Arabidopsis thaliana: one gene and its partner. The protein of the gene in region 1 interacts with the protein of each later gene in a pairwise test. Each region holds a gene or a part of one and is shown on either strand. Other genes may lie near its edges. The genes, in order: SEC and MYB30.

The links.
Region 2: the proteins of SEC (region 1) and MYB30 interact in binary tests that used the Arabidopsis thaliana proteins (3 or more experiments, as listed by UniProt).

Annotation. Positions count from the first base shown.
Region 1 is NC_003074.8:1,114,672-1,122,928, forward strand, and holds the start of SEC (Tetratricopeptide repeat (TPR)-like superfamily protein), read right to left. Parts: upstream 6,263-8,257; 5' UTR 6,052-6,262; coding exon 5,901-6,051; intron 5,535-5,900; coding exon 5,389-5,534; intron 5,298-5,388; coding exon 5,199-5,297; intron 5,118-5,198; coding exon 5,067-5,117; intron 4,947-5,066; coding exon 4,830-4,946; intron 4,717-4,829; coding exon 4,660-4,716; intron 4,487-4,659; exon of another isoform or gene 4,255-4,486; coding exon 4,135-4,254; intron 4,019-4,134; coding exon 3,956-4,018; intron 3,863-3,955; coding exon 3,784-3,862; intron 3,682-3,783; coding exon 3,572-3,681; intron 3,478-3,571; coding exon 3,424-3,477; intron 3,352-3,423; coding exon 3,284-3,351; intron 3,207-3,283; coding exon 3,104-3,206; intron 3,012-3,103; coding exon 2,809-3,011; intron 2,414-2,808; coding exon 2,317-2,413; intron 2,207-2,316; coding exon 2,135-2,206; intron 2,048-2,134; coding exon 1,971-2,047; intron 1,872-1,970; coding exon 1,670-1,871; intron 1,401-1,669; coding exon 1,233-1,400; and 12 more. Other genes in the region: AT3G04250 (F-box associated ubiquitination effector family protein), read left to right, coding at 7,279-8,157.
Region 2 is NC_003074.8:10,909,295-10,913,958, forward strand, and holds MYB30 (myb domain protein 30), read left to right. Parts: upstream 1-1,837; 5' UTR 1,838-2,148; coding exon 2,149-2,281; exon of another isoform or gene 2,282-2,607; coding exon 2,608-2,737; intron 2,738-2,853; coding exon 2,854-3,562; 3' UTR 3,563-3,896; downstream 3,897-4,664.

The DNA of each region.
Region 1 (8,257 bases):
GGTAACGTTATCATTGGTACACCAGCCCACAGTACATCTGTTCCTGTTGTGTGTCCATTGCACAGGGGCCTAATGACACAGGACAGGGTAGGGGAAGGTAAACTTGTGGCAGAATTGAGTTTTTGTGTTGTTTTTTAAATATATCTTGAAGTAGAGATAAATCGAGTTGAGAGGCAAAAGAACTCACGTGTCGAGGATTACATCGGCAAGGACACTTCGCCTGATATGTTCACTCTTCATGGCAACATCAGTGAAGATAATTTGATCAGGCTGTACACCTTGGGCAGCAGCATCTGGATATAAGGTCAAAAAAATAAGGTTATAAACGATAGAGAAAGCAGAAAGAACAAGGAAATGCTAGGCGATTGAATGGAACCAAACGTACATGTGCGAAACCTCATCTCTCCGGCTGCTGGAAAACGGAGAAGCCAAAGAGCACTGTTGGGTACTCGTTTAAGAATGTTGCACCTATAAAAAAATAAAAACAAATCAGTTTGTGCATGTATAAATTTACATCTATACAGAGTGTTATTTATGGTATCATGATGGTGTAAGGTGTCATACGTAAATTTCCAAACAAACTTGCAAAGCTAAGGAAAAACGTTTACCAAGTATTAACGATCTCAGGATCCATTTTGTACAGTTGGTTGAAGCATGCAAATATGAATTTGTCTTCAGGAAGTCCATAGTCTGATCGCTTGGGCTTCGAATTTGGATCCAACACATCCTGATTTTTCTGCAAACAGCATTTATACGATGAGTTTTATAAAAATAACTGTGGACCTGATGAATGTACAATAACATGGTAAAGAAAACTTTCTCGGAGCATACCTGCTTGTAATCATTGACAAAGTAGCAATGGGGAAGGTGGACCAGCTTCTCTGAGTAAATATGTGCATATTGCAGAGGAGACACGAACTGAAAAGTAAAAGAGAGTAACCAGTCATGACATAGAGAAAAAATAAGGTTGGAAAAAAAAAATGTTCTGAAGATATCTAGAAAACTATAATTCAATTGCAAACCTCATCAGTCACTAGATAGTCAATATAGGTTGCTCCAGTGGTACCCGGGAAGCCCATATATGAAACCTGGATCGGAGCAGGCTGCATGGCAAATATTTCATTTCTAGCCCCCTGCATAGGTTAAACCAAACAATGTTAGCAAAAACATTTCCATAGGAATGGGTACAGCTCCAGAGTAAAAAGTTTCTGAAATGTTCAGAGCATGCATGCCTTGGTATAACCGTTTAGATTGATGAGGATCTGGATTTTGTCTTGGTTTATAATTTTGGCGATAGCATCAGATGACATAGCAGAAACGTCCAGGAAATGCTCGGCTTCTGACTGGATTCGCTGTCTCCACTCAGTATTATCATTTGCACTCAGAGCATAGCAGAAAACCTGGGAAAAAATGTGATTTACTTTGCTGAAAAGCCAAAAACAGGATAGGCAGATACAGAATGATATACCATCAATTACTAAAGTTCTATATTCCACACACAGGACCCGTACGGTTCCATACATTCCTACCATCATAAGAACTAAACCCAGCATGTACGAATTTTATAGCCTCACTAGAAAACACTGGGTTGAAGAACTCAAACTCTCGATATAAAATCAGAGCAGACCTAAGAAATGGATCAACAAGTATCCAAGTGCAGGATACAAACCTCAACGTTTTCTCTGTTGTGCATCCCAAACACTGATCCCATGAGGTGTGACAACGGATGGTTACCAAAATCACTGCTCACGTATCCAATCCTTAATCTCTTAAATCCTCCCTCACGTTTTACAGGGAGCCCAGCTGGATGGGTAAAAGGAGGTAGTCCAAAACGAGAAGCGATTATGGAGCAGTGTGCAGCGTATTTACGACTGAAAAAATAGGGGATTTATAAGAAATAGGCATATACATAAAGATAATATAAACATGTATTTTCATGAGTATTGAGTATTAAAAAATCAGCCTCAAACCTGATTTCAAGGGCAAGAATAGGGTCAATAGGATATGCTATTGCATGGAAGGGCTGGACACTTGGAAGGACCGACATCTGAAGATAGGATCAATAGGATATGCTATCACCTTAATCTGTAATAGTATATAAGTACCACAAATTTTGTGTGGCGTAAATACTTACATTTATTTGCCTCCTAATAATGCTTTCAACTTCAGCGAACATTTTGCTACGGTCCTCCCAACAGCATACACACTGGTTCAGCAGCAGGAAAGAAAAAATGGAGACGAAGGGAGAATTAACAAGTAGAGAAGAAAGAAGCTATCATAACAGACGTGTGACATCAAACCAGGAAAAATAAATACCTGTAAGGTGTGTAGAAGGTTGCACGTTGCTTCTGGGAAGTCTGGTCGTAGAAGCAAGGCCTGCTTATAGCTCGTAATGGCAGCTTCTACATGCCCACTGCTTATGCAAGAAGGTGCAACAAATACATTAATAGTAGAACAAATATTTTTCTGGTCAAACATACTAACTCCTCAGTTAAAAGGTGGTCATTAACTCATTGTTATACTGCCACATCTTAAATGTTCTAAATCCCAGAAAACAAGAGCCTAACACGAAACCACCTTAAGAACTGTACGTAGAGATATAAAGGCTTCTAGTGAAGTAGGAAAATTGTAAGTAATTTTAAGATATATGACACCATAAGCTATTCAAGAACCATGAAATACACAAAATTCTTCTCGAGTCAGATCTTTTCGTTCAAGGTAAAGATGTTTTGGCTCTGTTCTTAGCTAAGCGGTATTTGAACATGTGTCTGGTATACCTAATAAATGAAAGATAAAGACAATGGTTACCTATCCTTGTAAGCTGAGGCCAGGTTTGCGTGAGCTTCAGCCATTGTAGGCCGGAAGTTTATAGCATGCATGTAATCCTGAATTGCTTCAGTTACCCTCCCGATCTCTTTGTAAGTATTCCCTCTATTAACCAGAGCGTCAGCTGCCAATGGGTCAATACGAAGAACCTCATTATAGCAGGATATAGCATCCGAGTAATTTCCCTGTAGTAAAGGAGAAGAAAACAAGCTAAATTTGTCAAACATGAGCAAGACTACAAAAATGATTAAAAATTGATAATGGAGCACGTAGCTACCTGTTGCTTGTAAATTATAGCAAGGTTATTGAACGGAGCAGATAGCCCTGTAGTTACAGCCAGAGTAGCCTTGAATAATGAGGAAGCAGGACCCATCATATTCCTGTTTCAAGTTGTGAAATGGATTTTATGGTCATTTAGTCTTTTCTATCTAGCAAAAAGAAAGAAAGGATCACATACCACTCCATATAAATGTTTCCAAGATTAGCCATGGCTTGTGGATGATTTGGTTGTAAAGCAAGACATTGCTGCAGTATAACCACAGGTTTGTGAGTAATACGCAAATTCACTAGTAAGTCTCAGATGGAAAACACACATACATTATAACACCGAACTGCTTCATCAACTCGCCCAATATCCTTCAATGCATTACCCTTCAAGTTCCAAATGCAAAAAATATCATATGTTAGATACTGAGAATTATAGTTCAGACACAAAACCCACAAAATGTGTGTTGTTGATGCTAACCAAGTTATTGTAAGCCTCCAAAAATCGTGGATCCCGGGAGAGAGCCTGCTTGTAGTGTCGAATTGCTAAATCTAGTTGACCTTGCTCATAGTATATACTGGCTATATTCCCTGCATTTAGTAGTTATATGTCAATTATGAAAGACGTCACGCATTTACTTGGCAAGTATATTTTATTTCAGCTGAGCATTTAGTTGATCAAATTACACTCACCAAATGCCATTGCAGAATTTGGCCGCATCTGTAAGGCATGCTGATAACACATGATCGCTTCAGTAGGTCTCCCGAGGGCCTTAAGACATAGAAATATAAAATTTTGTTACTACTATTGTCCAGAAAACATTATTGCACTGAACATATCTTAACACACTATACGTAGACATACCTTATACACGTTTCCTAAATTTAAATATGCATCAGGGAATGCAGGTTTCAACTTCACAGCTTCCTGGTAAATTAAGAAAATCAGCCAACATAGTTAAAACATAAAGAATTTAATCTGGGGGACAAACGCACACATAACACAATGTCAACAGGATCTTTCTAGGAGAGAATGAAGCATACCTTGTAGTATTGAAGGGCTCTGTTGAGATCACCTGACTCCATGAAAAGACCAGCAAGATTCGACCATGCAATAGCAAATGTTGGTTGTATACGAACAGCTTCAAGGTAACAACTGTATGCCTGCACAAAATATTACATTCTAACTATTTGGACTCTGGCAGTAGACACTGACTATAAGACTGACGATCATCCCTGCTTGCCTTTCAGTAACAACTTGATGTCTGTATTGATTGTGGATTATGACACAGTACAACACAGAAAAATGAATGCATCTATTAGTAATTGCAGTTGATAAACCAGTAAAATGACTACAGATGTGATGCTATATTCCTAGTGCATCACGTCACCGTCCATTTAATTATAATATATTTTGGTTCAATTAAAAGTTCTTCTGCAATGACAAAACTTTGATCAATCAATTGTAGAATTAGGGGCCGCATCCATAACTAGGACACAAGAAAATTGCAGATAATCGGGTTGGAACAGTAACAGAATAACTTAAATAGACTAATTCGAAAGACTTACTTCATGAATCAATCCTTGAGCCTTCATCAGATTCCCCAGATTACTATGTGCGTCAACCTAAGAACAGTTTACATTACCAGGTGAGAAGACTAACAAAAGAAGATAGACAGTGAATCTCCCAGCAGTAGTGAGACAGAAAACTTAAAAAGAAGGATCATAAAGTCAATTACCAGAAGTGGATTCAATGAGAGGGCCTGCTGACAGCATTGTGTTGCCTCACTGAGTCTTCCCTTTCGCATGTATGCACTTGCCAAGTTCGACCAAGCATCAGCAAAATTGGGCCTCAGCTGAAGAATTATATTGAAAAGAAAGTGTAAGCAAGGGGAAATGAAGAAAGGTAAAAGCATCAGTATAGGATGAGAAGTGAATAGCAGATATCGAGAAGCATAAATTGGATATAGCACAACCTCAATTGCAATTAAATAGTAGCGGATTGCACGATCAGTGTCCCCTTTTTCCTGGAAATAGCAGATTACAGATATAAGAATATATGTATTGGCAATAAAACCACCTGATCAGACAAAGACCAAGCCATTCACCTTCCACGCGTTTGCCATGTTTCCATAACACTCAGCAAACTGAGGTTGAATACGAAGAGCTTCTTCATTTCGAGCTATGCACATATCATACTCTTGAAGCTGCACGGTATATACCATACAAGTAAACAACTAATTAACCGAAAACAAGAGGATAGAGTAATGACTAATGAGATAAGGAGAAAAATAGTACCTGGTAATAAATAGCACCAATTAGAAGAAGATTATCAGTGCGTAATGGGTTTCTCTGGTAAACCATGTTGCTGTGCTCCAGGGCTTGTTTGAAATCGCCTCCTTTGTATAGCTGATGAGCAAGAGCCAGGCGTGCGTCATCATCACCTGCACGAAACGCTTACAGTAAACATCAGCACAATCATTACCAGTCACATTCTCCCAAAAGAAGTTAGCTTTTTTATCCTAAAACGAACAAACCAAATAACAAAGCTAAAAACTTTGCTCGCCCAAAAGTAGAATTCCCAAAAGTCAAGTAGCAGTTAGTAGCAAGTTTGATTTCACCAAATCTAATGATCTTTGAATTGTAACATAACAATTATACCTAGAAAAGGAAAATTAGATCGCACAACCTAGTGTTCTTAGTAAAACAGATGGAAACTAACTTCCACAAGGATCAGCTGTGAAGATGCGATTACACAAAGAAGGGACATCGAAAAAAAACAAAAATTTAAGCTCGTGACAAATCAGAACCTTCATGAGTCTTATTGAACTGCTGGAGGAGGCTCGAAGAAGACGAAGAAGAGACAGACAAATCAAGCTTTCTAGAGAAGACTTCATCAACTCGATCGGAAAGAAAGACAGGTCGGGAGATCATGGCAGCTCCGTTTTTGGACGAGATCATCGCGTCTTAATGAAATTGAACACCAAATTCCCCCAGATCACAAGTCTCCGGGACTTGGCCGGAGAATCAAAACACCGATGATAACGCAAGAGAGAAGAAAAGGGCAAAACCCTAAATTATCAAAATTCGTTTTTTCCGACCTCAGAAGCTGTAGCTTCGTCTTTCCTCTTTAGCTTTTATTTGCCTTTTTTTCAATTTCCTCTTTCCGACCAATCAAGATTTCACACATATAATTAGACTTAATATTTGACACGTGTAAATTTCAACGCCGTTGATTTTACGTATCGGGGTCAAAGAGTCAACAAAAATCTGGACAAAACCAAATTCTTTTGTCTTTAGTTAACACGTGTCTAAGACGCAACAGTGTTTTCTTCTCAAAGGTTGTAATTTACAATCCACCCAAAAACAATCTTTAATCTTTCCCAAATAGTGCCGCAAAGGCATTAAATGTGCCAACAATAAAACGTAATCCTGATTAATTACCTTAAATATATTGAGAAAAGAAAATAACAAAAAATTTACAATATCTTCCTCTCTTTGTCTACTCCAATATATTTTCTTTAAATACAAAAAAATTGCATACTAAATCGAATTCAAGGGTATCACAATTCTAATCTTATTTGAACTTAACTGCATGTTTACTTGATCTTCTTTTTCTAGAAGTAAATATTAAATGTCACAAAAATGAAAACAATTCACATTTGATTTTAATTAAAGATGGACGCGTGTTTTGGCAGCTTCCACTTATCAAATGTTTCAATTAAAGATGGAATTTAAGATACTGTTTTAAATTCCAATAAGCCCATAGTTAGCCCAGCTTCATACAAACTTGATGCTCTCCCCATACAAATGGTCATTGTTGGTAAAGAACTTGGATGTTATGAATGTGATTACCAAAAAGAAAACAAGAGAAGATTCTGAAGCCCACGATTGGGCCCAACTTCAAATTCCTATGTATAGTCTTCTGCGGGAAAAAAATCAGAGGAAAAGAAGAACACTTTTTTAAGGTTAAAAAAAAAAAAACCTTGTTGCAACTTGAGAAAACGACAACGATGATCTTAAATCTTCCAAGGGATTTGATAGAGGATATTGTATCTAGACTTCCCATGAAGTATATGAGGACATTGAAATTAACTTGCAAAACGTTGTACGCTTTATCCCAAAGTCAGAGCTTTATGAAGCTGCACATTAGTAAAGAAGCAGCACCGCGTAGAACAGGATATGGACATGTACAGGTACGCTCTAGGGTACGTGAACAAGAACAACTCTTGTCGTAGCCACAAAGTCTTGAGGTTTATAGATCATTACATCTCTTCGGCCGTGAACCACGCACCCGAAAACCGGTTTTCATGGTATGAAATCTACGATATTGAAACCGATTTATGGACAACTCTTGATGTCCCTCCATATTGGATAGTATCGTGTTATCAGCGTGGTGTTTCTCTCAAGGGAAATACCTACTTTTGTGCTACAAAAAGTAACGCAATAAACAAAATCGACGATCACATAATCTGTTTTGATTTCACAAGTGAGAGATTTGGGCCACTTTTGCGTCTACCGTTTAGCGCTGGCCATGATGACTATGTGACTTTATCTTGTGTTAGAGAAGAGAAGCTTGCGGCTTTACTTACGCACAACGACTGGAATCCATATGAGTTTGAGATATGGATCACGACTAAGATCGAGTATGATAAAGTGTCGTGGAGCAAGATCTTGGAAATGGATACAGGACCATTGGCTGACATGCCGATTGCATATATACATGGGAGTTTCTTCATTGACGAGGAGAAGAAAGTCTCCATGGTTTTTGATCACCACAGAGTCAACATCATTGGAAAAACTGGATATTTTAGAGAATTGGATCTCCGAGTACATGTAGCCGGCATAAAGTGTAGGCCACATTTGTGCCCTTACGTTCCAAATTCAATGCAAATCAAACAACCTCCGGGAGGCAAAAGGAAACGAAAACCCATTCTAGAACAGCGTCGATATGACCAAAACATGTTGAGAGTTGCCGCCTTTATAAAGCGAACCAAGCAGGAGGATAATAAATGGAAAAAACGAGTCCTCGAGGGTCTGAAGAAGCAAACGAATTTTAAAGCCTAATTTAGCCTCCTTCGTTTACTCACTCTTTTTCTCATTGAATAAGATTACTATCCTTATTTTGTTTCTTCCTATCTTATGCAATATGATGAGGATTTTCTAA
Region 2 (4,664 bases), 9.8 Mb from region 1:
AAAGAAAATACCAAATCTATTACAATATATTATAAAGTATACATCTCCCATTTTTGTGGCCGTCGAATTTTCGTATTACATAATTACATTCAATAAAAATTCGGATTTGCAACTTGGTACTAAAATATTATGGCAAGGAGTGATAATTCAATGTAATGATGAACTTGTAAAAAAAAAATTAAAAAAATTTCAAATCCAAAAGATACGAATCTAACCTGTAAACAAAACAAAATTACAAAGGATTACAAACTTGGTTCGACTCTCGAAATTAAGTAGCAAATTCTTGTACCTCATTTCAATTTCACGGTACAAATGTTATTTTTCTTTGAATATAATTTAATATTTCTTTAAAAAATATATCTATATTTTTAATGGATAAAAATTACTTCTTAGTAAATAAAAATAATACAAATGAAAACAGTAAGATATCTACTTACCGTTTTACTAATGGTTAAACAGAAAACGGGACATTGTACGTGGAAAAAAAACATACTTAAGCAGTTTTGTTTATGATTAAAGAAAGACCATGCATTTTCAAAGTGGTTATGTAGACAAAAACCTTTTCGAGTTTCATTCCATATGTTTGATTAAACAGCCTGTTTAACACAACTTTATTATTATATCTAACGTAAATCATAAACTTTCCACAAAGTGAAAATTTCACACTTGTACAAATTGTCATTCAAAATTCCTACCTATATAAATAAATTATAGCACAACATTGACAAAAGAGAAGAAATTAAAGTAGTCTCGTGTCTCTTCTTCTTCCTTTTCTTCCGGCCTCGTGAAAACCAAATTGATTTCATCCTTTTTACTTGTTGACATTTACATACATACACATGTTCACATAAATAGATATAGTTGTATATGACTTGTGTCTATCAATCCAAAATCTTCATTATCTACTATACCAAATTCTCATACAAATATCTCTTAATCTCTTTTCACCACCTACGATATTGACATATATAACGTACAATTAATTTCATCAAAACTTAATGTGGCTGTATGACTTGTGTCTATCAAATCCAAAAATCTTCATTATCTTGTATACCAAATTCTCATACAAATATCTCTATATTTCTTTTCACCACCTACGATAACGACATATGTAACGTACAATTAATTCCATCTAAAACTATGTTTACTATAAACTCAAATTGTGGTCCATTAACACTAATCGCGAACCTTACCCGAATAAAACGTTCAACATCATGTATTCATATATGTTTATGTAACGTAATACATATAAACGCATATAAATCTATATATGGAGAAGTCGCTAACATCATGAATGACGTAGACCATCATGTAGTTTGACAATGGCCAAAGACCCACTGGTTCAATCCAAAACAGCAATTTTTTCTTTTCTTCTATATCTTAAAAAAAAAAACTATTCGTTTTGATAAAAAAACAACCAAAACAGCAAATCATGACGCAGAGAAAATCTCGTTCGTCAAAAGACCCTTTCATTAATTTCTATTATTAACAAAGCCTATGCAATACACATAAATGCAATAGCCACTATTCAATTCTTAAAATTATCGTAGCAATAAATCAAAAGTGAGAGAGGGAGATATCATATCATATATCATTATCATGTTATCATGCATGTCCCCATTATTCTTTATTTTTTAATAATAACATAAACCAATAAATTATTAAACCCAATAATATTTTTTTTGTTTGTGTTATTAGGGTTTTTGAAAGAAGCAAGCCCACATTGAATGCCACGCGGTTTTGTATGGAGGGTAGAGACTTTTCCTTTTGCCACACAGCTGACTTTGGAGGCTTTACCTCCACTTTTGTAGTTAATGCTTTACACATTTTTTATATACTTTTATTTATTATCTATACAATTTGAGAGACCCAAGAGTCCAAGACCAAGAGGGGTCAGCAAATTTCTCTTTCTCCTTTTATATATATATATAGAAGAAGAAGTGGACATAGACCTTTGTCGCCAAGCTTAACCATTAGATCCATTTCAGAGCTAAGCGTACTAATTAGTGTACTAAGGGTAGTGTGACTCATTACCACCTAAAGTAGTTTCAATTTTCTTCTATTTTTCTTGGCAAAGAGTTATAGTGGGAAACAAAGGGAGTGGTTAATAAAGAATTAATTAGTTAATTAAGGGAGTTCAAGATCATAATGGTGAGGCCTCCTTGTTGTGACAAAGGAGGAGTGAAGAAAGGGCCATGGACTCCTGAAGAAGATATCATTTTAGTCACTTACATCCAAGAACATGGTCCTGGTAATTGGAGAGCTGTTCCTACCAATACTGGTATGTATAATCTTCATTCATCATCTCTCCTCTCTACCTCTCTATAGATTTGTATGTAGATATTATTTGGATTTAATCTATGAGAGTGAGAGATAGACAAGGAATCAAATTGGTTTGGATTGAAATTTGTGTTCTCCAAATTGGTTTTGATCTTCATTTGGTTCTTCTTTAGGTCTTTAAGATTGTGGAATCAGCTTAATGAAAACATATGTAGAAATTAGGGTTTTGTTTATTGACCATGAAATTAAGATCTAATGCATGAGATCTTGTTATTTATATATTTTCTCATCGGTTCTCAATATTTGTTCGTTCTTATAAATTTTCAGGGCTGCTTAGATGCAGCAAGAGTTGTAGACTTAGATGGACAAACTATTTAAGGCCAGGAATCAAAAGAGGCAATTTCACAGAACATGAAGAAAAGATGATTGTTCATCTCCAAGCCCTCTTAGGAAATAGGTAAAAAATAATAATGACTTTTCAATTTCTCTAATTTTGTCTCTTCACACATTTTCTTTCGAAAATTAGAAGATTTGTTTTGATTTTTAATAGAGAGCATTTAATATTTGGTGTAGATGGGCTGCAATTGCGTCATATCTTCCACAAAGGACAGACAATGACATTAAGAACTATTGGAACACTCATTTGAAGAAGAAACTCAACAAAGTCAATCAAGATTCTCATCAAGAACTTGACCGTTCCTCGCTCTCATCTTCACCATCGTCTTCTTCTGCTAATTCCAACTCAAACATCTCAAGAGGCCAATGGGAAAGGCGACTTCAAACCGATATCCACTTGGCGAAAAAGGCTCTCTCTGAGGCTTTATCTCCTGCCGTTGCACCAATCATTACATCTACAGTGACAACAACGTCTTCCTCTGCTGAATCAAGACGCTCTACTTCCTCAGCTAGCGGGTTTCTTAGGACGCAAGAAACATCTACAACTTATGCCTCAAGCACCGAAAATATCGCGAAATTGCTCAAAGGGTGGGTGAAAAACTCGCCGAAGACTCAAAACTCCGCGGATCAAATCGCTTCTACAGAGGTAAAAGAAGTGATCAAGAGTGATGATGGGAAGGAGTGTGCAGGGGCATTTCAGTCATTTTCTGAGTTTGATCACTCATATCAACAGGCTGGTGTTTCACCTGATCATGAGACCAAACCAGACATAACTGGATGCTGCAGTAACCAAAGTCAATGGTCTTTGTTTGAGAAGTGGTTGTTTGAGGATTCTGGTGGACAGATTGGTGATATTCTATTGGATGAAAACACTAATTTCTTCTGAAGAGTTTGCTTTAATCACATGGTTCTAATTTTAGGATCCTCATCTCTATTTTTTTTTTTGGGTTTTCCAAATTAACTCGCTTAGATTATCGTGAGATAAATCAGTAATAATTTTATTTATTTTCCCTCTTTAATTTACAATTAATGATGGGGTTGTTTTATATATGGCCCTGTGAATTCTGAAGGGGCCTGAAAAATGTCCACCCAATGATTTTAGTAGTATTGGTGTAAAATCCTATATCTATTTTTTATTTATTAAAATGTTGTTATTGCTTGATTTTTCTTTTGCTTTGTAACTTGTAAGTATGATTTACTTTTGAGATGTTAACCTAAAAGTAATTCTGTTACAAATTAAACATACACTGACAAAAAAATTACATATATATATTGGAGAATGACCAAAAAATGCTCGCTCATATCCGGATTAATTAGTCCTAATGTGTAGTAGCCTAGTAAGTGTGGGATATAGAATTAATAATCAAATACTTACAACTTGCACTTAATTGTCAATTTATTTTCCTTAAATTAACCGTTAACTCACTAAGGAAAACACTTAACATTTATTTTAGAGTGTCAAATGGCGCCGCTCAATAAATGAAATCTTAGATTTAAAGATAGCCTTACTATTGGTGAATTTGAAAGACCTACTAATAAAGAAAATAGTACTAGTAAAGAAAAATTAACGAAATATTTATTGCATGAAATAAATAGGGCCGACAAGGTTTAAAGAAACTAATTATAAAAAGATAAATATAAATTTTAAAAACGGGATGGATTGGCACTATAAATATTGAAAGTGATGAAGAATTAAAGTTTGACTTTCTTTCTTGTGACCTTGTGAGTTGTGTGACTTACATCACATAGTTACTAAGTATGAAGAAGTCAATATCGCCATTAATTTAGCTTCTCCTTTGGTTTTTAAGATATTGCCACTTGTTATGCCGATGGTAAGAAACTTAGAAAGAAAAGAAAAATGCTAAAACCGAACCGGAGATTATAGTAAATGTATGGCAGTGGTTCTACTTTGTCTTCGGACTTAGTTGTGGGTGTTTTGCATCTACAGTAAATTTGCTTGTATTATTGTTGGATTTTGGTTCGATCGG